3 linked regions of the Stegostoma tigrinum genome follow. The protein of the gene in region 1 interacts with the protein of each later gene in a biochemical or structural test. Links are inferred from orthologs where the notes say so. Each region holds a gene or a part of one and is shown in the gene's direction. Other genes may lie near its edges. The genes, in order: kpna2, cse1l and kpnb1.

Evidence for each region.
Region 2: the proteins of kpna2 (region 1) and cse1l form a complex in vitro, tested with the Homo sapiens proteins (2 studies listed by BioGRID). The link is inferred for Stegostoma tigrinum from reciprocal best matches to the Homo sapiens genes KPNA2 and CSE1L.
Region 3: the proteins of kpna2 (region 1) and kpnb1 form a complex in vitro, tested with the Homo sapiens proteins (6 studies listed by BioGRID and IntAct, with this or other methods). The link is inferred for Stegostoma tigrinum from reciprocal best matches to the Homo sapiens genes KPNA2 and KPNB1.

What each region holds. Positions count from the first base shown.
Region 1 is NC_081375.1:10,522,642-10,530,152, forward strand, and holds the start of kpna2 (importin subunit alpha-1), read left to right. Parts: upstream 1-4,407; 5' UTR 4,408-4,498; intron 4,499-4,504; exon of another isoform or gene 4,505-4,645; intron 4,646-4,884; 5' UTR 4,885-4,912; coding exon 4,913-4,984; intron 4,985-5,085; coding exon 5,086-5,223; intron 5,224-5,309; coding exon 5,310-5,392; intron 5,393-6,684; coding exon 6,685-6,953; intron 6,954-7,511.
Region 2 is NC_081372.1:32,684,623-32,691,758, reverse strand, and holds the start of cse1l (exportin-2), read left to right. Parts: upstream 1-4,040; 5' UTR 4,041-4,175; intron 4,176-4,635; exon of another isoform or gene 4,636-4,766; intron 4,767-7,136. UniProt on the Homo sapiens protein: Export receptor for importin-alpha. Mediates importin-alpha re-export from the nucleus to the cytoplasm after import substrates (cargos) have been released into the nucleoplasm.
Region 3 is NC_081384.1:5,015,219-5,022,604, reverse strand, and holds the start of kpnb1 (importin subunit beta-1), read left to right. Parts: upstream 1-4,373; 5' UTR 4,374-4,672; coding exon 4,673-4,727; intron 4,728-4,846; coding exon 4,847-4,905; intron 4,906-7,386.

The sequences.
Region 1 (7,511 bases):
TAACAATGGATGAATAAAGATATCAAGGCTTTGGTCAAGAATAAGAGGAAATCATATATTGGGTATAGACAACTGGGATCTAGAATCTCTTGAAGAATATAAGGGGTGTTGGGGCATTCTTGAGAGAGAAATCTGGAGGGCAAAAAGAGAGATGAGATAACATGAGATAACTTTGGCAGATAAGATTAAGGTTAATCCAAAGAGATTCTACAAGTACATTAAGAGCAAAAGAGCAGCTACTGAGAGAATAGGGTCCCTTAAAAATCATTGAGGTCATCTATGTGTTGAACCACAGGAGATGGGAGAGATAATAAATGTGTCAGTTTTTACTGTGGAGAAAGACATGGAGGCTTGGGAAATAAATTTTGATGTCTTGAAAACAATCCATATTGTGGAAGAGGAGGTGCTGGGGGTCTTAAAAAAAACACAAAGATGGATAAATCTCCAGGCCTGATGAAGTATATCTCAGGACATTTTGGGAAGTTAGGGAAGAAATTACAGGGCCCCTAGTATAGATATTTATATCATCTGCAGCCAAGGATAAGATGCCAGAGGACGAGATGGTGGCTAATGTTGTGCCTTTATTTCAGAAAGGCTGTAAGGAGAAGCCTGGGAACTATAGATTGGTAAGTCAGATATCAGTGGTGGGCAAGTTTTTGGAGGGGATTCTGAGAGATAGGATTTACATGCATTTGGACTAGGATAGATCGTTCTGTTCAAGATCTGAGATCATAGATTCCCTACAGTGTAGAAGCAGGCCATTCAGTCCATAAAGTCCACACTAATCCTCTGAAGAGCATCCCACCTAGACCGAGCCCGTACCCTATCACGAAATTTCCTTCCCCAGACATCATGGGCTATTTAGCATTGCCAATCCACCTAACCTGCACATCTTTGGACTGTGGGAGGAAACCCACACAAACACAGGGAAAATGTGCAAACCCCGCATGGACAGTCACCCAAGGCTGGAATTGAACCCAGGTCCCTGGTACTGTGAGGCCACCATGCTGATAGTTCCGTTCAAGATTAGGAATGGTTCTGATCAAAACTATTCAAGATGGCAGCAGTGGATAAGCACTGTCTGGGATTTTGTGCCCAGATCTCATCCATTCTGCCAGCTTTCCTTTTTCTGTTTTTATCTTCTTTTCTCTTTTTTTAAGTAGTTTCTTAATTACCTTTTGGATGCTGTGGAGGCAGCGGCAGCAAAAGAACATGCCAGTGGCTGGGCCCCAATGTGACAGTGAGACAACAATTGGCAGCTAGCGGCAAAGGATGGTGGCAGCAGTGATGTGGTGGTTGCGGCCAAAGCCTTGTGAGTGCTGATGAAGCCTGATGTGCCTGGGCAGGTCTTGGCCCAGCACAGCGTAAGCATTCCCAGCGCTAGGGAGAGTGATGTGTCTTGGGGAAAGCCCAGCTTTAAGCATCTGTAGGCCCATAGCTTAAGACTGTAATGCTTGACATTTTAACTTTATTTTTCTATTTTTCAACATTTATGCTAAGTGCACTGTAGTGCTGAACTTTTTAAACTTATTACTTTATATTTCTATTTCTGTAACTAAAATTTTGTACCTAAGTACTTTGTACATAAGATGGCACCATATGTGGTGACGTTGTACACTTTTCACTGTGCTCTTGTGCCATGTACTTGAGTACACATGACAATAAAACCTAAATCTAGATCTAAAATCAATTGTTTGTCATTTATATAAACTATTTGGATGAGAATTTAGGAGGCATATTTAGTAAGTTTGTGGATGACACCAAAGTTGGTAGTGAAGAAGATTATCTAAGAATACAAAGGTTCTTGATCAATTGGGCCAATGGCTTGAGCAGTGGCAGATGGAGTAAAATTTGAATAAATATTATTGCATTTTGATAAAACAAACACAGGCAGCACTTATACACAGGCAGCACTTATACAGTTAATGATATGGCCCGGAGTAGTGTTTTCGAACAGAGAGACTTAGGGATCTAAGGATTAAAGTTCTTTGAAATTTGCATCACATGTAGAAATGATGGTTAAAAAGGTGTTTAGAATGCTTGCATTCATTGTTCAGACCACTGAGTATATCATGCTGAGGTTGTACAGGGTTTTGGTGATTTGATTTGATTTATTATTGTCACATGTACCTTGGTGCAGTGAAAAGTTTTGTTTTGTGTGTAGTACAGGCAGATCATATCATACAAAGTGTATAAGGGTAATAGAACAGAACAAGGAATACAATGTTATGCTCAGAGAAGATACACAAAGAACACGATTAACATTAAATTTAAAATTTGAGAGATCCATTCAGAAATTTAACAACAGTGGCGAAGAAGACATAGTAAGAACTGCTGATGCTTGAGTCTGAGATAACATAGTATGGAGCTGGAAAAACCTGAAGATTTCTGAAGAAAGCTCCTGACCCGAAATGTTAGCTTTCCTACTCCTCTGATGCTGCTTTGCCTGCTGTGTTCTTCCAGCTTCACACTATGTTAATAGTGGGGAAGAAGCTGTTCTTGAATCTGTTGGTTCATATGTTTAAGCTTTTGTACCTTCTGCCTGATAGAAGAGGTTGGAAAAGAGTATAACTGGGGTGGGCTTTGATTATGTTGGCTGCCCTCCCGAAACAGTGTGAAGTATAGATAGAGTCAATGGATGGAAGGTTGGCTTGCACGATGTTCTGAGCTGTGTCACAACTCTCTGTAGTTTCTTCTAGTTCTGGGCAGAGCAGTTGCCATACCAAGCCATGATGCATCCAGATAGAATGCTTTCTATGTTTCATCTTTAAAAATTGGCAAGAGCCTTTATAGACATGCCAAGTTTCCATAGCATCCTGAGGAAGAAGAGGCATTGTTGTGCTTTCTTGACTGTTGTATCAACATGGATTGTTGGTGATTGCCACGCCTCGGAACTTCACTCTTGGCTATCCCTAACTCAGCACGATTAATGTAGATAGGGGAGTGTCCTCCACCTTGTTTCCTGAAATCAATGACCAGCTCTTTCATTTTTCTAATGTGAAGGGAAAGATTGTTATCTTCACACCATGCTACCAAGCACTGTGTCTCTTTCCTGTATTCTGTCTTGTCATTGTTTGAGATCCAACCTATAGTGGTGGTGTTGTCAGCAAACTTGTTGATGGAGTTAGGATGAAATTTGGCCACGCAGTCACAAGTGTACAGGAATTATATTAAGATGCTAAGGCATGTTTTTGGAGGACTGTCTACAGTACTGGACTTCCTTCTATAGGAAGAATATTGTTAAATTGGAGATGGTTGAGAAAAGATTTGCCAGGATAGATGAGGTGAATAGCAAAGGTCTTTTCCCTGGGGTGGTGGAGTTCAAAACTGGGAGGAAATTTTAAGGTGAGAGGAGAAAGATTTAAAAGGAACCTGAGAGGCAACTTTTTCATACAGAGGGCGTTTTGTATGTGGAATGAACTACCAGAGGAAGTGGTTGTTGCAGGTATAGTTACAACATTTAAAAGACATTTGGACAGGTACGTGAATAGGAAAGGGTTAGAGGGACATGGGCCAAATGCAGGCAAGTAGGACTAGCTTAGTTTGGGAAATGCGGTATGCGTGGGTGAGTTGGACTGAAAGGTCTGTTTCTGTGCTGTTTGACTCTATGACTCAATAACTGTTATGGACTGTCCTACACTGGTGTGTAGCAGTATGACAATGAGCTACACTTGAGGCCATTGTTCCTTGCACTGAATGAGAAAAACAGGGTATTGTTAGTGATATATTTCCACATCTCTCATATGTATGGCAACAAGTGCCACAGCCCCACCTCATGCCCCCAGAGTTATTACACGTTGACCCTGTGCCAAACTATTCTTTAAATGTTTTGCCAGGAACTGGTCTCTCAGGAAGTTTTGGTGGGGTTGTGGTTAATAGTAGGACCAAGATATGAAAATCAACTTCAAGGAGAATCACTCAGTGTGAGGTTGCCACTGGTAGTGGGGGAATGGGGAAGGACCAAGCACAGACTCCTTTGCCGTAAAAGTTCGAAGGCACAGGACATAAAACTATGTTATCCTGTATGAATTACTGAGCGGTCAACCACACATAACTTGAGAGGTTTTCCGAAGACGTTGCAAAAGAGACAAAGACGTGACTTTAGTGAGTGTTTCCAGCAATTTTTATTCCTAAATCAGCAGTATTTTTAATACCACGTGGAAGAACAAAAGAGTAAAGAGGAAGTAATGTTTCGAGCTCCTTTAACGCGCAAAACAACAAAAGACCGCGCCAGAGACGGCGCTATGCACGGAGTAGTATTTTTAATATCCTTTACTTGATTGGCTGCGCGGTTGGTATGGGAATCCATCCAACCGCATCCTCAGCTTCTTTCAAATCAGCCAATTGAAATATTGCTTTGAATCGAATGAACCAATGGGAGCCGGGCAACTCAGCCGGTTTAAATAGCTGGAGCGGCTTCCAAGCTTGCATTTCTGTTGGTAATAGTGTTTTACTAGCGGAAGGTTATAAGTTGTAAACGGCTTGCTTTAATATTGCAGTTAAGTGCACTTTGTAAATCTTGTGATTAGTTCAACTGCTGTTCTCGTTTAATAGCGATAAGTTTTTTTTCCTTTTCACGACTAATTAAATTCCAGTAACCTTAACGGAAAATCTCCCCTTTAAATCTTTGTCTCAGCTTCCGCAAGTATGTAAGACTTGTTCATCTTTCGCTGTAAATGACTTTTGTCTAAACAGGCAATTAATCTAAATGCTGAAACGTAATTGTTGCTAACTTTTTAATCTGGATGCAGTGTAATTTTTTTAAAAAGAACAAAATTGTTAATTTTTCTACGTTGTAGCATCTTTCCAAAGTGTCTAAAAATCTTCCCCGCCTGTCGAAGCACGCTTTCTGTGACTAACTCTTGTCTACTTTGTTTCGTACAGTTTTTGCCAAGTTAATTCAAGTTGAAATATGTCAACCACGGCCAACGAGAACGCCTTCAGCCGCCTGATCAAGTTTAAGAACAAGGGGAAAGATGCTAATGTAAGATGGTATTATTTTAAGCTTTTTCGTAACTTTTATCATCGCCATCAATACATGGCCTAATTTTGGTTCCATTTTCCCTCTCCACTCCTTTTTAAAAGGAGTTGAGACGCAGGAGAATTGAAACCAATGTTGAGCTGCGGAAAGCTAAAAAAGACGACCAGCTGTTTAAAAGGAGGAACGTGAACAATTTTCCTGATGAGAATGTATCTCCACTTCAAGAAAAGAACAATATCCAGGTACTGTATTCTCGAAGGAATCCTGTTTTAAAATTCATGACTTGCTTTTTGGCTACTAAAAACTTTGCTGTTTTCATGAAAATCAGGTGCCTTTGAATTTGGATGAAATAATCCAAGGTATCCAGAGTAATAATTTGGAAACTCAACTCCAAGCAACTCAGGCTGCCAGGTAAGAATGGGTGTCTCCCATTGTAGTTAGAAATTTTAAATGTAAAATACCTTGAGTCTTTTGAAAGTAATGCAGAGAATTCAAGCACCAGTTATGGGACACTGGGATATGTTTAAAGGAACCAGTCCATGTCTGTCTGCAATCGCGATACTGGGAGTAAAAATACTTGTATCTTGTCACTTCAGGACTATATTTGAGTGGGTTTTTTGTGTAATAGTGCTATACTAATTTTTTTCAAACTGGCTGTTGGAGTTTTAAAAAATGGATTTGCCAATTTTGGAGGGAATGATATTTCACTAGTGATTTTGGAGTCTATTTTTGGTTCACGTGGCCAGTGTTCGGTCAAAATGAGGCTGTCTAGCACTACCTCCTTCATGTAATAACTGAGCCCTGATCTGATTCCTGCATATGTTTGGGTTTCACTAAAACTTGAGGCTTCGTTTTGCCCATTTCTATCTTTTGTAACACTGACTCTAGTTCCAGACTCCAACTTTGCACCCTATCTTATGCCTTGTTTATATACTGCTCAGGTTGCACCTCAGCCTGTGCTCTTGTGAAAAATCTTTTGTCTAATCCCTTGCTAAAGCTAATGTATTCCGATCCAGCCAGCATCAGGTAAAAGTGATAATGGGAACTGCAGATGCTGGAGAATCGTCAGCTTTTGTGCTCCTGAGGTGCTGCTTGGCCTGATGTGTTCATCCAGCTTCACACTTTATTATCTTGGGAACTGCAAATGCTGGAGAATCCATTATCACTGATACAATTTTAACCTCACTGCAAAGCCTCTTCCAGGGATGCCTAACCTGAAGTAGTTACCCTCCTCCCTCTGGAGGATGAAGGGTCTAGGCCTGAAACGTCAGCTTTTGTGCTCCTGAGATGCTGCTTGGCCTGCTATGTTCATCCAGCTCCACACTTTATTATCTAGTATCAGGTAAAATCTTTTTTGCACCTTCAAAACTTCCACATCTTTCCTATAGAGTATCAGAACTGCACAAATACCATTTTAGGTCATGCAAGATGCTCTCCAACCTACAATTGACAAAATTGACTTTTCACCAGCTAATTGGTAAGGTAGTCCAATTGTATAAAGTTCTTTATCTTAAACAATTGTTAATAATGAGGGATAATACCTAGGATTTTTTGGACCAAAATTTTAAGAACTGATTTTAGTCTTTTCTGTGCTCTTTCTGGCCAGAGGGTTGATTTCACAACCATTCTGTTGGTGTTTACATTGTATTACAAGTCAGACAATAGTTGTCAGTACACTTTTTTAAGCTGCTTTTTCTTTTCAGGAAGCTGCTTTCTAGGGAGAAACATCCTCCCATTGACAAAATTATTCAAGCTGGGCTCATCCCCAGATTTGTGGGATTTCTTGCTACTTTTAATTGTAGCCCCATCCAGTTTGAAGCTGCATGGGCCCTCACCAACATAGCGTCTGGAACATCTGATCAGACTAAGGCTGTTGTTGATGGTGGTGCAATACCAGCATTCATCAATCTGTTGGCATCTCCACATCCACATATCAGTGAACAAGCAGTATGGGCTTTAGGAAACATTGCAGGTAACTAACTACTTTTTAAATATAGAAATGTTCGTTCTTTGCAAAATGGAGCATGTAAATTGGCTGACTGTTGCCCTAGTAGAACAGCTAGTAGAAATTAACGTTTTTTAAAAAAAAACTAATTAATGTAATGTGGAAATCACTGGCTATATGGCACTTTATTCTTTCCTCCTGCCTTTCCCCTAACACCCTTGGACATGGCAGTGTACAGCCTTCAATGACTGAAGTCTCTAATCACCTAGTGTTAGAAAGATAGTTTTTCAGGGTTTTGATTCAACAATCGAGCTTAAACTCTGGGTAGTATGCCTTGAAGAACTCTTAAGGGTTATGGAGAAGGGCAAAACTGCTCAGCAGGTTCAAATTCTAAATTGGGGTAAGCCTTAATTCTATGAAAATTTGAGGAGCTTTCATGGATTGACTTTTGAGTAGTTTGCAGACAAAGGGACTCCTGGCAAGTGGGAGGCCTTTAAAAGTGTGATAGCTAGAGGTCAAGGCTTATGTTCCAGTGAAGGGCAAGGTTGGCAGGAATAGGGAACCTTATTAATAATGAGATTTTTG
Region 2 (7,136 bases), on another chromosome or scaffold:
TTTTCCATCAAATCTCTCGTAAAGACTGATATCCTGCTTTTCCAGAATAGTTGTGGCAGTAATGTCACTTGGAACTTGCAATATCCTCAGATTGTAATGTTTCAATATTACCAGAGTAGCCAACAGTGAGATAGTGCCAAAATCTTCACACTGGAAGGCCATTTCTGTACAAAATTTCATCATGTTTAATAAGGCAAGATTTCATCATGTTTACTAAGTCAAAACTGATGGGAAGGCAATGCTGAAAATGATGTCAATTTATACAAGTCTTAAACAGTTTTCCATTTGCAATTACATATTTAATGAGACATAGTAATCATTACAGAAAGATAAATAATCACATTACTGATCAATTTAACAAAATAAACGAGATAAACTAGCAGAGTGAATGCTTAAAAGATTCAGAAGGTCTGACAGCATCTGCAGAGACAGAAAAACAGAACTACCAATTTCTGAACAAGTAACCAAAATTGAAAAGTTAGCTCTCTTTCACCCCCCACAGATACTGGCAGACCTGTTGAACTTCTCTAGCATTCTCAGTGCTTGTTTTAGATTTACAGCAGCTTCAGTATTTTCTTTCTTTTCCACTGAAGCAGTTGTGGAAATGTTATGCTGCAGCAGTGCAAAGTGTTGTCACTACAATATGAATTCAACAACTGCATTTATTCTCTTAAAGACAGGTGAATGATCTCCAAAAATGTTCAGTCTAGATAACCCCAAGCTCTTTAAACTTGTTTATAAAGTGACTTGTAGGAATGCTGGAGTTTGAGGCTCAAACTGCTGAAGGCATGAACACTGATGTTTGTAAAATGCCAAATCTGAAAGACAGATCTCAGAGGCTGAAGGTTGGAAGAAAGTTACAGAGCTTAGGAAGGGTAAGACCATGAAAATATCTGACAAAGGAATTGAGAACTTTTAAAATGAGATGGGACAAGACCAGAAGCTGAATGAGACTTGGTGTGAGTTAGCCGATGTACTAAGATACTTGCCAATTTGGAAGAATGTAATATTTTAATTCAAGAATAGCAGTAAGTGCAACTCAGAAAGAAGGATGTTGACCTAAAACATCAACTTTCCTGCTCCGCTGATGCTGCCTGGGCTGCTATGTTCCTCCAGCTCCACACTGTGTTATCTCTGACTCCAGCATCTGCGGTTCTTACTATCTCAGGTATCCTTGTCTTAGGTAGTAATATTGACGGGAAAATTCCTGACAGATTTCAATCACAGAATCCCCACACTGTGGAAGCAGGCCATTCGGCCCATCAAGTCCACACCAACTCTCTGAAGAACATCCTGTCCAAACCCACCCCGCTACCCTATATTTCCTACGGCCAATCCACCTAACCTGCACATCTTTAGACTGTGGGAGTAAATCATAGCATTCAGAGGAAACCCATGCAGACTGGAGACAATGGCCAAACTCCACATAGACAGTTGCCCAAGGTTGGAATTGAACTCAGGTCTCTGGCACCATGAGGCAACAGTGCTAACCACTGAGTCACTGTGCTGCCTTCAGTCGTCATGCAGTAAGGCCTTAACAACATCAGTCTAAGTTTGTTAAGGAGCAAATGATTTTTGTGCCACACACATTAGGTAATGACCATCTTAAACAAGACAGAATCAAACTATCTCCCCTGCTATGGCTGATTTTCCATGCTGCCAACATCTTGGGTTATTTGTGGCAGCAGAACAAAGTGAATGAAATGTCTAAATACTATGGCTACTAGATCAAGAGAGAGATTTGGAATTCCAGTCTGTAACTCACCACCTCTCTACCCAATGCCAGCACTATCTTCAAGGTTAAAAGCCAAGAGCATGAAGGTCTGTTCTCAATTTGCCTGGATAGATGCAGTTTCAACAACACTCAAGTGACTCAACATCATTCAAGAATACAGTCCAAACCCTTGGCGACTCATTCATCACCTATACCATTCACAATTTTACCACCAATGTCCAGTGTACACCATCTACAAGTTGCACTGCAATTACTCTTCAAAGCTCCCTCAAAAGTGCCTTCCAAACATGAGGACTCTACTCCTTAGAAAAGGGCAACAGATTTATGGGAACTCCATCACATATAAGTTCTCCTCCAGACCGCACATCTTACTGAGATAATGGGAACTGCAGATGCTGGAGAATCCAAGATAACAAAGTGTGAAGCTGGATGAACACAGCAGGCCAAGCAGCATCTTAGGAGCACAAAAGCTGACGTTTCGGGCCTAGACCCTTCATCGGAGAGGGAGCTGGAATAAATAGGGAGAGAAGGGGAGGCGGAGCGAAGATGGAGAGAAAAGAAGATAGGTGGAGAGGAGAGTATAGGTGGGGAGGGGATAGGTCAGTCCAGGGAGGACGGACAGGGCAAGGGGGCGGGATGAGGTTAGTAGGTAGGAAATGGAGGTGCGACTTGCGGTTGGAGGAGGGGATGGGTGAGAGGAAGAACAGGTTAGGGAGGCAGAGTCAAGCTGGGCTGGTTTTGGGATGCAGTAGGGGGAGGGGACGAGCTGGGCTGGTTTTGGGATGCAGTGGGGGAAGTGGAGATTTTGAAGCTTCTGAAGTCTACATTGATACCATTGGCAGCAGGGCTCCCAAGCGGAATATGAGTTGCTGTACCTGCAACTTTTGGATGGCATCATTGTGGCACTGCAGGAGGCCCATGATGGACATGTCATCTAAGGAATGGGAGGGTGAGTTAAAATGGTTCACGACTAGGAGGTGCAGTTGTTTGTTGCGAACTGAGCGGAGGTGCAATAAACAACTGCACCTCCCAGTCACGAACCATTTTAAATCCCCCTCCCATTCCTTAGACGACATGCCCATCATGGGCCTTCTGCATGATGCCACAATGATGCCACCCAAAGGTTGCAGGAACAGCAACTCATATTCCACTTGGGAACCCTGCAGCCCAATGATATCAATGTGGACTTCACAAGCTTCAAAATCTCCCCTTCCCCCACTGCAACCCAAAACCAGCCCAGCTTGTCCCTGCCTCCCTAATCTGATCTTCCTCTCACCCATCCCTTCCTCCCACCTCAAGCCACACCTCCATTTGCTACCTACTAACCTCATCCCGCCTCCTTGACCTGTCCGTCCTCCCTGGACTGACCTATCCCCTCCCTACCTCCCCACCTATGCTCTCCTCTCCACCTATCTTCTTTTCTATCCATCTTCAGTCCGCCTCCCCCTCTCTCCCTATTTATTCCAGCTCCCTCTCCGATGAAGGGTCTAGGCCCGAAACGTCAGCTTTTGTGCTCCTGAGATGCTGCTTGGCCTGCTGTGTTCATCCAGCTTCACACTTTGTTACCTCGCACATCTTACTGACTTGGAAACAACAAGGTGTAAAGCTGGATGAACACAGCAGGCAAAGGAGCATCATAACAGCAGGAAAGCTGACGTTTCGAGGCTAGACCGTTCTTCAGAAATGGGACAGTAAAACGCTGTTCTGAAATAAATAGCGAGAGGCGGAGGCGGATAGAAGATAGATAGAGGAGAAGATAGGTGGAGAGGAGACAGACAGATCAAAGAGGTGGGGATTTCGAAACGTCAAGCTTTACTGCTCCTCTGATGTTGCTTGGCCTGTTGTGTTCATCCAGATTCACACCGTGTTATCTCAGATTCTCCAGCACCTGCAGTTCCTACGGTCCATGGAGTCAGTAAAGGCGAGTGTAGGTAGGGAGGGGATAGGTCAAGGGGGCGGGATGAGGCTTGTAGGTAGGAGATAGGGGTGGGGCTTGAGGTGGGATGAGGGGATAGGTAAGAGGAAGGACAGATTAGGGAGGCGGGGACAAGATGGGCTGGTTTTGGGATGTAGTAGGGGGAGGGGCTTGTGATGTCTATCGACGTTTCTTCAACATGGCCAGGTCAAAATCCCGGAACCGGATCTCGTTTCTCCACAACAGCGTAAAGATTGCTGTGCCTTCTTTTTCAGAGGAATGAGGAATGGACAATACCTGCAGACGTAGCCATATCCCGTACGGGACCGTAGGGCCGAGAGGCCGCCGGCACGCAGCTGTTGCGAAGGGGGCGGACAGTGCGCATGCGCAAGAGCGATGTGTTGGGGGCCGATCGTAGTGCGCATGCCTGCGTTAGGCAGCGCGCCATTTTCCTTGTGTTTGAACGAGCCCTGAACGGGGAGCAGATTTTCGGGTCTGAAATCATTTCGACTTAAGATAAAGAAGGTAAGAGAAACTGGGCCTTTTAGATCTTTGTCCGCTCCCTGCGATCTCCACGGACCGATCCTGAGTCGCCTGTCTTCTGTTTTGAAGAGCTAGGCCCATTTTTTTCAGTCTCAAAAAGGGGCTCATGATCCCGGCGGATGTTGTCGATGCAGCGACTTCCACAAAGCGACTGTCCAGAAGTCGGTACACTGCCGTTTACGAGGCGTCGAAAGTGGGCGGCCTGGCTACCAGTTCGCTTTTGTTCGAATGGATCGGGAAGGAAGGCAGTTTTCAGTCGGGCCCAACCCTCGGCCCAACGTGAACCTATACTTCAACCGAACATGCTGCTCCCTCTCCTGGTCAACCTTGATTGGTGATGGGGCGGGCAAATATCTGCAGTTTGGCTTCGTGATTGTTTGGCCCAGCTGTCAATCACTGGTCTACGTGCAACATGTTCGGTTGTGGCCGTATTTGTACCAGGCCTTGCGCTGGGTCTTGAAGCTGCGCTGCTTTCCGATGGGAAATGTTTTGTTGCCCTCGCTGCTTAGCTTAGCGCGCTACGTATATGGCTATACAAGCTGCCCTTTCAAGTTTCTTATTATGAAGCACGCGGTGGGTCAAAAATGTATATTACAAAATCTAGTATTCTGTTTGCTAAGTGTAAGCGATTTCAGACAGCCCAATCGAGAGTGCCAGCCAATCAATATTTTTAGAAATAAGATAAGCTGTTCTGAAGTTGAAGCTGATCAGTAGATTTGACACTAGTCCATACTGAAGTCGAGTTTAATTCTTGTTGAGGCCTTCACGAAACTTTATCCTCCCTGCCCGAGCGACGTTCTCTCTGATGCACTTCGATCTGAGAAAGATAGAGCCTGTTGGTGTTTTTTTGTTTTATTCTGCATCTGTGCTCTCGTTCATAAACGACAGAGTAAGTGTAAACTTGTTATACGGGGCTTGCACTTCGTTTCCACTTGCAGTACTGAAGCGTCTTGGCTGTTGTGAGGTTCAGTTGCATTTGACGCATCTGTGTAGTTCGTGCTATTATAAATAAAGGAAACTATATTTTTCTATGGTTCTTTTCGCGGTCACTAGATGTTTCAGGCATTTATAATCAATGAGTACATTGAAATGTAATCACTGTCGTAATGTACGACATCTCGATTGTCCAGAGTCAACGCTGTATCAGACAATGAGCAAATAATCTTGTATTGTTGATTGAAAGATAAATGTGGATCAAGACCTTCAGGATAACTCCCCAACTCATGATTCCTTCATAGGCTGTTATGTATGAGCATCCAGAGGCACATCATTGATATTATTGTGTTAATTGTGGGATTTGGCAAAGCAAAACAGATGTCAGATTTTCTTAATTTTTGTCAAAATCTTATCAGTAGTATAGTGGTGAATTCAATGGCCTTTGGCAGTGTTTCTGAAATATTCCCCTCTTACTTTTTGAAGGCTAATACATCAGCAACACCTATGTCTTGTAATACGATGTAGTGAGATGCACGTGTGCTAACATTCATTAGTCTGTTTGACTTGTGTAACTTAATCTTGTCATTGGTGTTCAAGCTGAAGGTGTGTGGTGCTGCTTCTGTGTGCTATTTAATGATGCAGAAATAGTCATATAGTGGCATTGGGGCAAGGGTAGATGTTGACAGTGGTTGAGTGGGCTGCCAGGAGCAGAATACAGTACTACAGGTAAGAGGTAGTTGAGGAAAATAAGAGACGAGATGTGTCCTAGGAGCCATTAAGTTGAAGTGTTGAACTGCCTGAAATATGGGATGGTCCTGTAAATTCTGAGATAGTTGATCACCTTGTGTGATGCATACCTGTCAGCAAAGAAACAGAACTGAGACGCTGCATAACAATGTTACTTTGAGTTTATGTAATGCATAGTTGTCACAGTCCCTGCTATTTTAATATATTTCTGTTGGAAGCCCTATTTAATGTAGTCTCAAATTTATCTTTGTGTCAGTTTGTAAACAATCTTTCTGTTTACTTGGTTATGTCTTACTGAATTTATACATTATTTAAACTTAGTAAAAGAGCTCAATTAATATACATAATCTTATATTTTATCTACTGATGAAGTTACCTTGACTGTTATTTCTATTCCTTTTCATCAGCTTGTCTTTGTTGTTAAAAGATAGTAATTTAGAATATTTCCATAATAAACCTGCAGCAAGTCTGTTAGTACCCAAATAATGATGTTAGTATTTTGTCTGAGATTTGCTGCCGATTTTTGGTGCTGTTACTTATTGCATGTTAATTGTATTTCCATAACCCCTCTCAGTAAGCTTGTGAGCTGATCGTGCATTTTCACCACAAAGTTTGAAGTTTCCTTTATGAGCATTCTTATGTCATGGTTTGCTTCTAAGGCAGCCTTACAAGTTATGAACTGTTGTGGAAAATTCAGGTATTGGTTTTTATTGACCCACAAAATATTACGTTTCATGGTTCAATTGCCACATCAACAATAAACTGAATCTTCAGATGGTGGCATATGGCAGAATTGAGGCCAGTCATAAGGATTACAGGAAAATGCTGAAGAAAAGCAAATTGAGAATTTAGAAGAACTGCAATAAAGACAGAAGTTGCTCGAAAAGTTCTTGTTCAGTGGGCCAACGGACCCAAAATGTTAACTCTGACTTCTGTTCACAGATGCTGCCAGACCACCTGAGCTTTTCCAGCAACTTGTGCTTTTGTTTCTGATTTTACAGCATGCACAATTCTTTTGGTTTTTATTCAGAAGAGGTGATTGGATATATGAGAGAACATGCAGTAAATAGGGCATCTAAACGCATACAAAAGGAAAGAGTTAACAGATGTCCAATGGTGAAGTAGTGCTTTAATTATGAAGGATGGAAGTGTTTTTCTTTAATCTTTATCTGTAGCATACCTGAGGACTTGACATAACTGTCTAAAATCTTTTGGTTTTGAAAAACATTACCAGAACTTAACTTGGAATTGTTGGAAGCT
Region 3 (7,386 bases), on another chromosome or scaffold:
TATGGAAGGTTGAAGAGTTGAGATTAAGAAGACTATATATTTTAGAAATTAATAACTAGGGCAAAGATTTACCTTAGGGGAGAAGTTATCATAAGAATATTTTAAAAAAAAGGAAAAGTAAGCCATTCAGACCCTCAAGCCTGCTCCACTATATATCATGATCGTGGCTTCTTCCCCCACCCAAAGAGTGATAATTCTGCCTAGAAAGGTGGGAGAGGAGAAATTCTCATTGCATTTAAAAAGTATTTGAATATTCACTTGAAGTACTGTACCTATCAGGCTACCAACCAAAATCTAGAAAATTAGTTGACCGCTTTCTTCTGGCTGCCAAACATGATGAGCTAACTGGCCTTCCTCTGTGTGGTAAATGTTTGAAATTCGTCCTCCTTAACTCAACATTGAAACACTCTTATGGAGCCCTTATTGGCCTAGCATACCAGGTTTTAAGATAGCCTGTCTAAAAAAGGCAATTGTATTATGGGAAGTAAGATCTACAAGAATGAAAAGCACTTGCACCTATATAAATGATTTCATAAATTGGAATTAAAGAGTTAAGGATACAGAAACTATGAGTACCAGACAATCGGAGAGTATTTCATCATTTACAGAAAACAAGTCAGGTATGTGATGTACGGAACAGGTGAGTCAATTGCTGCAAAATACACCACCTATGACTTGTGTTTGTAGCCAGTATTTGTGTTACTGGTCCAGGTTTATTATTTCTTTTGCACAGTTATCATTTCATTGCTTCTGTTTTGGTACTAGATTATAACATGATCAGCCCTCACTTGATCATATTCTTCTAACACCATCTTCTTCTGCATACCATTTTTAAAAATATCTTAATACATTTTAACATCTTTGCTTCTGCGCTGTCAGGATTGAGATGAGTAGAACATCTTGATCAAGTAGAAGGCGAGGGTGAATATTTTGAAATCTCTACCCAGGTGCTGTAGAGGCCCAATTTTGAGCAGCAACATACTGCAGATGTTAAAAATCTGAAACAACAAGAAAAGCTGCTGAAAATATTCAACAGCTCTGGCAACACATGCAGAGCAGAAACAATTAATATTTCAGGTCAGCTGAAAGGTCACAGATTAGACACATTAATTCTGATCCCCTCTATAGATGCTGCTAGATCTTTTCCAATATTTTCTGCTTTTATCCCGTATCCTAATGTTGATTGTAATCTAAACAGAGGAGGCGAAGGCAATAAAGCCAGCAGTCAGATAAGATGTGAACTGTTCTATGTGGCACACACTTATACCACAAGTTTTTGCACTGTATCAACAATAAAGACCAGCTACCCATACCTCCACCATGCATCAGCTTATCTGCTGTTAAAACTCATTTCATTCTCTTCTGAATTAACTGGTTCAGCACACTCTACACTGGCCTCCCTCCATAACTGTGGGCTCATTCAAAACTACTCCCTGCTTGTTGGGCAGCCAGTGCAGACACGATCGGCCAAAAGACCTCCATCTGTGCCATAAATATTCAACAATCACAACCTGCAGCAAGTCATACTCGCCCACTGCAGTCATGCACTTAAATTGGCTTCTAATCCAAGAATGCCCCAATTTTCAAATTCACACCATTATATTAAGTTCCCTCCAGGATCCTGTTCCTCGTGCTGTTTGACATTGGCTTTTTCTACAAACCCAATCCACGTGGCCCAGTATTATCGTCAATGCAAACAAAAATCAAGTGAACTACAGATGCTGAAAATCTGAAATAAAAATGAAAAACTTTGGGGAACTTCAGAAGGTCTGGCAGCATCTGTAGAGGATGAAAGAAGAGATAATGTTTTGGATCCACTGAAGCTTCTTTAGCATGCAAGAGTCACCAGACCTGAAAAATGTACTCTGCTTTCTTTCCGTAAAGCTGTCAGACCTGCTTAGTTTCTCCAGAAATTTCTGTTTTTGTTATTGTCAAATGTGCATTCAGTTGAGCAGATCTTAAACTATAGAATTCCTTTTCTGCTGACCAGTGTTTTAAAATCTACCACACAGACCAAGATTTTGATCACCTGTCTGGCACTGCCTTTGAATCAGCATTAAATGTGTCTGATGATGCTCCTTTGAAGCACCATGGGCTGTTCTACCAACAATAAGTGTTGTTAAAATATCAAAATGAAAACTGAAAGAACTGCAGATGCTGTAAATCAAAACAGTTCTGACGAAGGGTCACTCAACCCAAAACTTTAACTCCGATTTTTTTTTGCCACAGATGCTGCCAGACCTGCTGAGCTTTTCCAGCAATTTCTGCTTTTGTTGTTAAAAATGTCAATGGATGGTACTGCAATGAATCATTTTTTAAAGTTTCTCAGGTCCAACATGGCATCAACAAATGTAATCATCTCCGAAGCACTCTGGAAAAATATCCATTTGAGCATATAAGAAGCTAATTGTTTAAAGGGATCCCATTGCCTCCTTCCATTATGTTCATAATCACAGTCTTTCTGCACCTGGAGCCAAATGTCATCAATTCACTGTCTTTGAAATGGTGTACCACAACGCAACAAATATAGGAAGTAGTGAATGAGCACAATGGGAGAAAAAAAACTCAATAATTTATATGGTGCTTCATTCTTCCAATCTGGGTAAGGGGAAAATCAGCTGGATTTTTTGTGATTCAAATCTCATTGGGTTGATTTTAAAATCCTCCCAAGCAGGGTTGACTCACTATGCAATGCCAATTCTTTAAACACAGTTCTCCAACTAAATTAATTCCTTGCATATTTTCTTCATTTAAGTATGCATTGAATTCGTATTTAAGTTATTATTAGATCTGCTTCCACCATCTTTGCATTGAACGATGGATGGATCTTTATAAGTGTTGGCAGCGTGCAGTTACAGTTCTGCTATTTGTAGGAGAGCATTAAACACAAATTCGCAGCACAAAAGACTGTTATACAGCACGAATCAGTCATACCTAGAATAGTTTGAACAGTTTCGACCCCCTTACATGAGGAAAGATCCTTAAGTAAAATCTGCCTCGAAATGTTCCAGTCAAGGAATCAAGGTGACTATCACACGAGTCCACCCCCAATATCCTTCTCCTTCTATTGCATTAAATACACCTTATGAAGCAGCTCGGAGGATGCAAAGAGGAGAGAAATGTTTGCAGTGATTCGTGGTTTCAGAAAGCAGCATTACAATGCTGAGTAGAGTTGGTTTTTTTGGGATAGATAGTGGAGATGGTCAATACAAACGGCAGCGCTCTCTTCCCTGGAAACGGCGGGAAATACAAACCAGAACCGCCTCACTCATCAGCAACAGCCGCATCTCCATTCGCCACCGTAAAGTAGTGCCCTCAACTTTTAACCTCGTCAACCGCACCCCCTTTGAATTTAGGCGCCGAAGGCAACCCATACGCACACAAAAATAAAGACTTTCTCCGGACGCCGGTTGCTCCTTTCGTGCAGAAGCTTTTCCACTGAAAATGAGGTTTCTCTCCCGCCGATGCGATCGGTCTGATTGGCGGAGGAGACGCTCCGATGCCCCCTCCCCCCGGAATTTAGAGTAAAACTGGACCAAGTGTCCCAGGATGGAGGCAGGCCCTGGGCGGAGTCAAGTGGGAAAAGTACAGACATAACCCTCCCCCGAAAACGGTCTCAAGGACGGGAGGGAGGGGTCATCGGCTCCAATTCGAAATTCGGCCTTCAACAGAGGCTACAGCCGCTCAGCCAATCAGAGGACGCCTTGAATAGCATCAGGCAGCGGCCGTTGAAGAGCTATAGCATCTCTGCTTAACCAATCAAGAGTCTCTTTAGATAAGCAGTAGGATGGGAATGATAGGCCAGTGGAAGGTCGCGTAAAATAACACACGGCGGCCGTTCAAAGGATGTGATGCACTCAGCGCTATCCTCCAATCAGAAGTGGCATTCGATTGCTTTTACCGGCACTTGCGTCATGGACCAATAAGAGATTGTGTTAGATAGGATGACTGATGGCCGGTGTGTAAAGACATTACCAATCGGGGATTGTGTTCGATATCCAAGCACGATTGGCCAATGAGAAACCGCGTTAGATAGTGCTAGGCGGCCAGTGGGAAAGCGGAACAAGCGCGCGCGTGTACTGCGTCTGGCGACACCCACCAATCCGATTAGGCGTTGGCTCGCCTGGGCGGTCACGGGCCAATGGGAGCTCCTGTTAGACAGGCCGGGCAGCTGTTGAAGGCGTGGGTGAAGCAGTGATAATGGCGGGGTTCGGCCACTTGGCAATGGCTCGCGGCGATTGACGTACAGACGGACCAATCAGATGGAAGCGGCGGTACGTGCGCCGTGAATGATTCGGCCAATGGGGAGGCGCGTCACGGGGAGCGGCAGTTTGCGAAGGGAGCAGCGCGCGCGGCCGCTGCTATATCGCTCCGCCGCCGGTGGCACTCGGCTTTTGCGCAGCTGCGGAGCCGGGCGAAGGCGTGAGAGAAGCTTGCGCTCTGGTTATTAGCGAGTGAGAAAGAGAAAACAGTCACTAATATACAGCATATCTGTTGTTATCCATAATAAATTCCACGCTGCCACCCCTTGTTTATCTATCTATCGCTCTTTTTAATCTTCCCTCACCGCGGTGTATATGTACGTTATATTTTCTAAAAGGAAGCAGAATCTGAGTGACCCAGAACCATTTATGGCCGTTTCTGCCTGAGAAAAATCCTCGTTGTTTCCCACATGAGATTCGTTAACATGGAGCTTATCACAATTTTAGAGAAAACCGTCTCTCCAGGTAAGGCGTCTAATGGGAGAGGGAGTAATATTATTTTTCTCTTTCGTGGTATTTTAAAACTGTATTATTATTTTTTTTCCCGCCCGCCCTTTTCTTTCTTTTCTCTCCCTCCTCCCCAGATCGTAATGAGCTGGAAGCAGCGCAGAAGTTTCTGGAACAGGCGGCTGTTGAGAATTTGGTCAGTATTGGATTCTGTTTCCATTTTTTTTGAATGGGTAAAGGGGGCGATGGTTTGATCTAATTCGGCTTTTTAAAAAAAAATGTGCGTGGGCTGATGCGAGAGTATGGTTGGCTATTTGATTTTTAAGATGGAAAATTTTTTATCCATTTTAATGGAGGGAAATCAAGGGCATTCATTGAGAAAATTCCCCCTTTCTACTCTTCTTCTCCCCCACCCCCCCCCCAACCTTTTGGGCGGGGGAGGGGGAAACTGGAGTGAAAAAAAATGACAGCCTAACTTGCTGGCAGGAATTACCCCGGTTGATTGACAAGGCATGACAGCCAATGAGAGTCCGGAGATTGCCGGTGGGCATGCCCGCTAGCCAATGAGGACGCCCCGAAGAGGCTGGGTTTCCGCTCTGCGCAAGTTTGGTTGATGGGAAGGGAAGCTGGGAGTCGAGGCCTGAGCGCATGTTGCCGGCTCATCCTCTCCTCCCTATGTGTGAGAGAGAACAGCCTACCCCACGCATGGAGGGGCTGGGGAGGCCTGGATCCATTATGCTATCTGATAAATTTATGCCCTTTATACCCCTGCGTTTAAATCGTCGTAAGCATTATTTCTTTTTCAATAATAGCCTGAAGATTTGCACAATTTAGGTTTTGATATCATGTGTCTGGCTTTCTTCTGGGTTGCTATCGTGTAATCTTTTCATTTGGTTAACACCAGTTGAAAGTTTCTATTTAACCGGTGTTTGTGGAAGTTAATCAATTTGTAACGCATTAAGACGTGCTGGGACGCCGTTTAGCCCTCTAGGTTTGAACCAAATGAAAACAGCCTCGCTCATATCCCAGTTTCGGTCTACGTAGATCACTATTTAGGGTGTAAATCTGAGTTTTTTGATGCATTCAGGGTATCAGTTGCTTATAACGTAGTAGATGGTGTTTGAGGTCCTGCTTAGCTCCTTGATGGAAGAACAATTCTTGTCAACCTTTCTCTAATTCTTTTGACAGTTGCTTCAAATCTATCCTAATAGAACTACCTTCCTTTCTACTGTCAAAGTATTTCAATAGACTGTAATTTAAGTCTTCCCTCAACCTTTTAGAAACATGGATAATAAGAGCAAGTACAGGCCCTTTGAGCCTGCTTCACCATTCAGTATGATTGTGGCTGATTGTTCAGTTTGGTACCGTGTCTGCTTTCTGCATGCTTTTGATCCCTTTAGCTCTAAGAGCTATATCTAACTACTCGAACATTTAATATTTTGGCCTCAACTACTTTCTGTGGCAGAGTTCACTGCATTCTGGTTGAAGAAATGTAGAACCTAAAATATAGGTGTAGAATTCAGCCATTGGCTCATTGAGTCTGCTCTGCCATTTTATCATAGCTAATAGGCTTCTCAACATCATTCTTCTCTGTGTAACTCTGACCACCTTACTAATCAAGCATCTGTCTGTCTTAAGTATACTCAATGACTTGGCTTCCACAACCTTCTGTGGTAGTGTGTTCCATGAGATTAAACATCCTCTGGCTGAAATTTCTTATCTCTGTTCTGAGTGGGGAGTTCCATATCCTTGAGCTGTGACCATTGGTTCAAGACTCACGGTTATTAAGAACATCCTGCATTTATCTTGTCTAGTCACTGTTAAAATTTTATAGGTTAACTAGGGTTGCACCATTGTTAAATTTGATAGATGTATCTTAATATATTTTAAATCCAAATGCAAGTTATTTTAGCAGGTCACCACGTGCATTTTGAGCTTGTTTCTTTAGAGATTTTCTGTTGCATCCTATTTAAGGTTATTGGTGCTTTTTTGGTTACTGTGGATTTGCACATTTGACAATGATTTCTCATCTTTTGCTTTAAACAAGGTTACTTAATGTGTGTAAATCAGGTAATTTTGGAAACTTAAAATTGCTTTGAAGTCAGTAGAAATAGCAGTAAATTGCATTTTAATCTCTAATTATTTTAATTGCAAATTTCAAGCCATTTCTTTGGAAGTACATTTGACTTTGTATGTAGTGTTTTACCACTTATTAATTTGGCTAATTGTATGGCCTTAAATTGTAGATTGCAGAATTTCTGAAAACTGTCAGCTTTTGGAAAAATTAGCTATATTTTCATAGCCTTTTCCTGCACGTTTAGTAAAACCTAACAACTAAAAAAAATACAGGCTTGACTTAAGCTTAGGTATGATATGGAGGGGCTTCCTATCAGATCCTGGCTTTAGAGATTTACCTGCTGTCAGACACTGTATCCTGTATCAAATCAGATCTAAAACTGAGCTGGTTAATTCAATCAGCTGGACCATGTAATACAGCTTAAGGAATTTTGTAGCCACTGGAAACTGTTTAGGAATCAATAGCAAGAAGAAAGGTGAGTAAAAGTTTTGAAAAGTGCATGTGATATTAGAAGAAGATGGGACATAAAAACGAAATCCTGCTTGAATAAGTGCTAGAAAAAGACAAGTATTGTACACCACTTTGGAATAGTGGTAGACA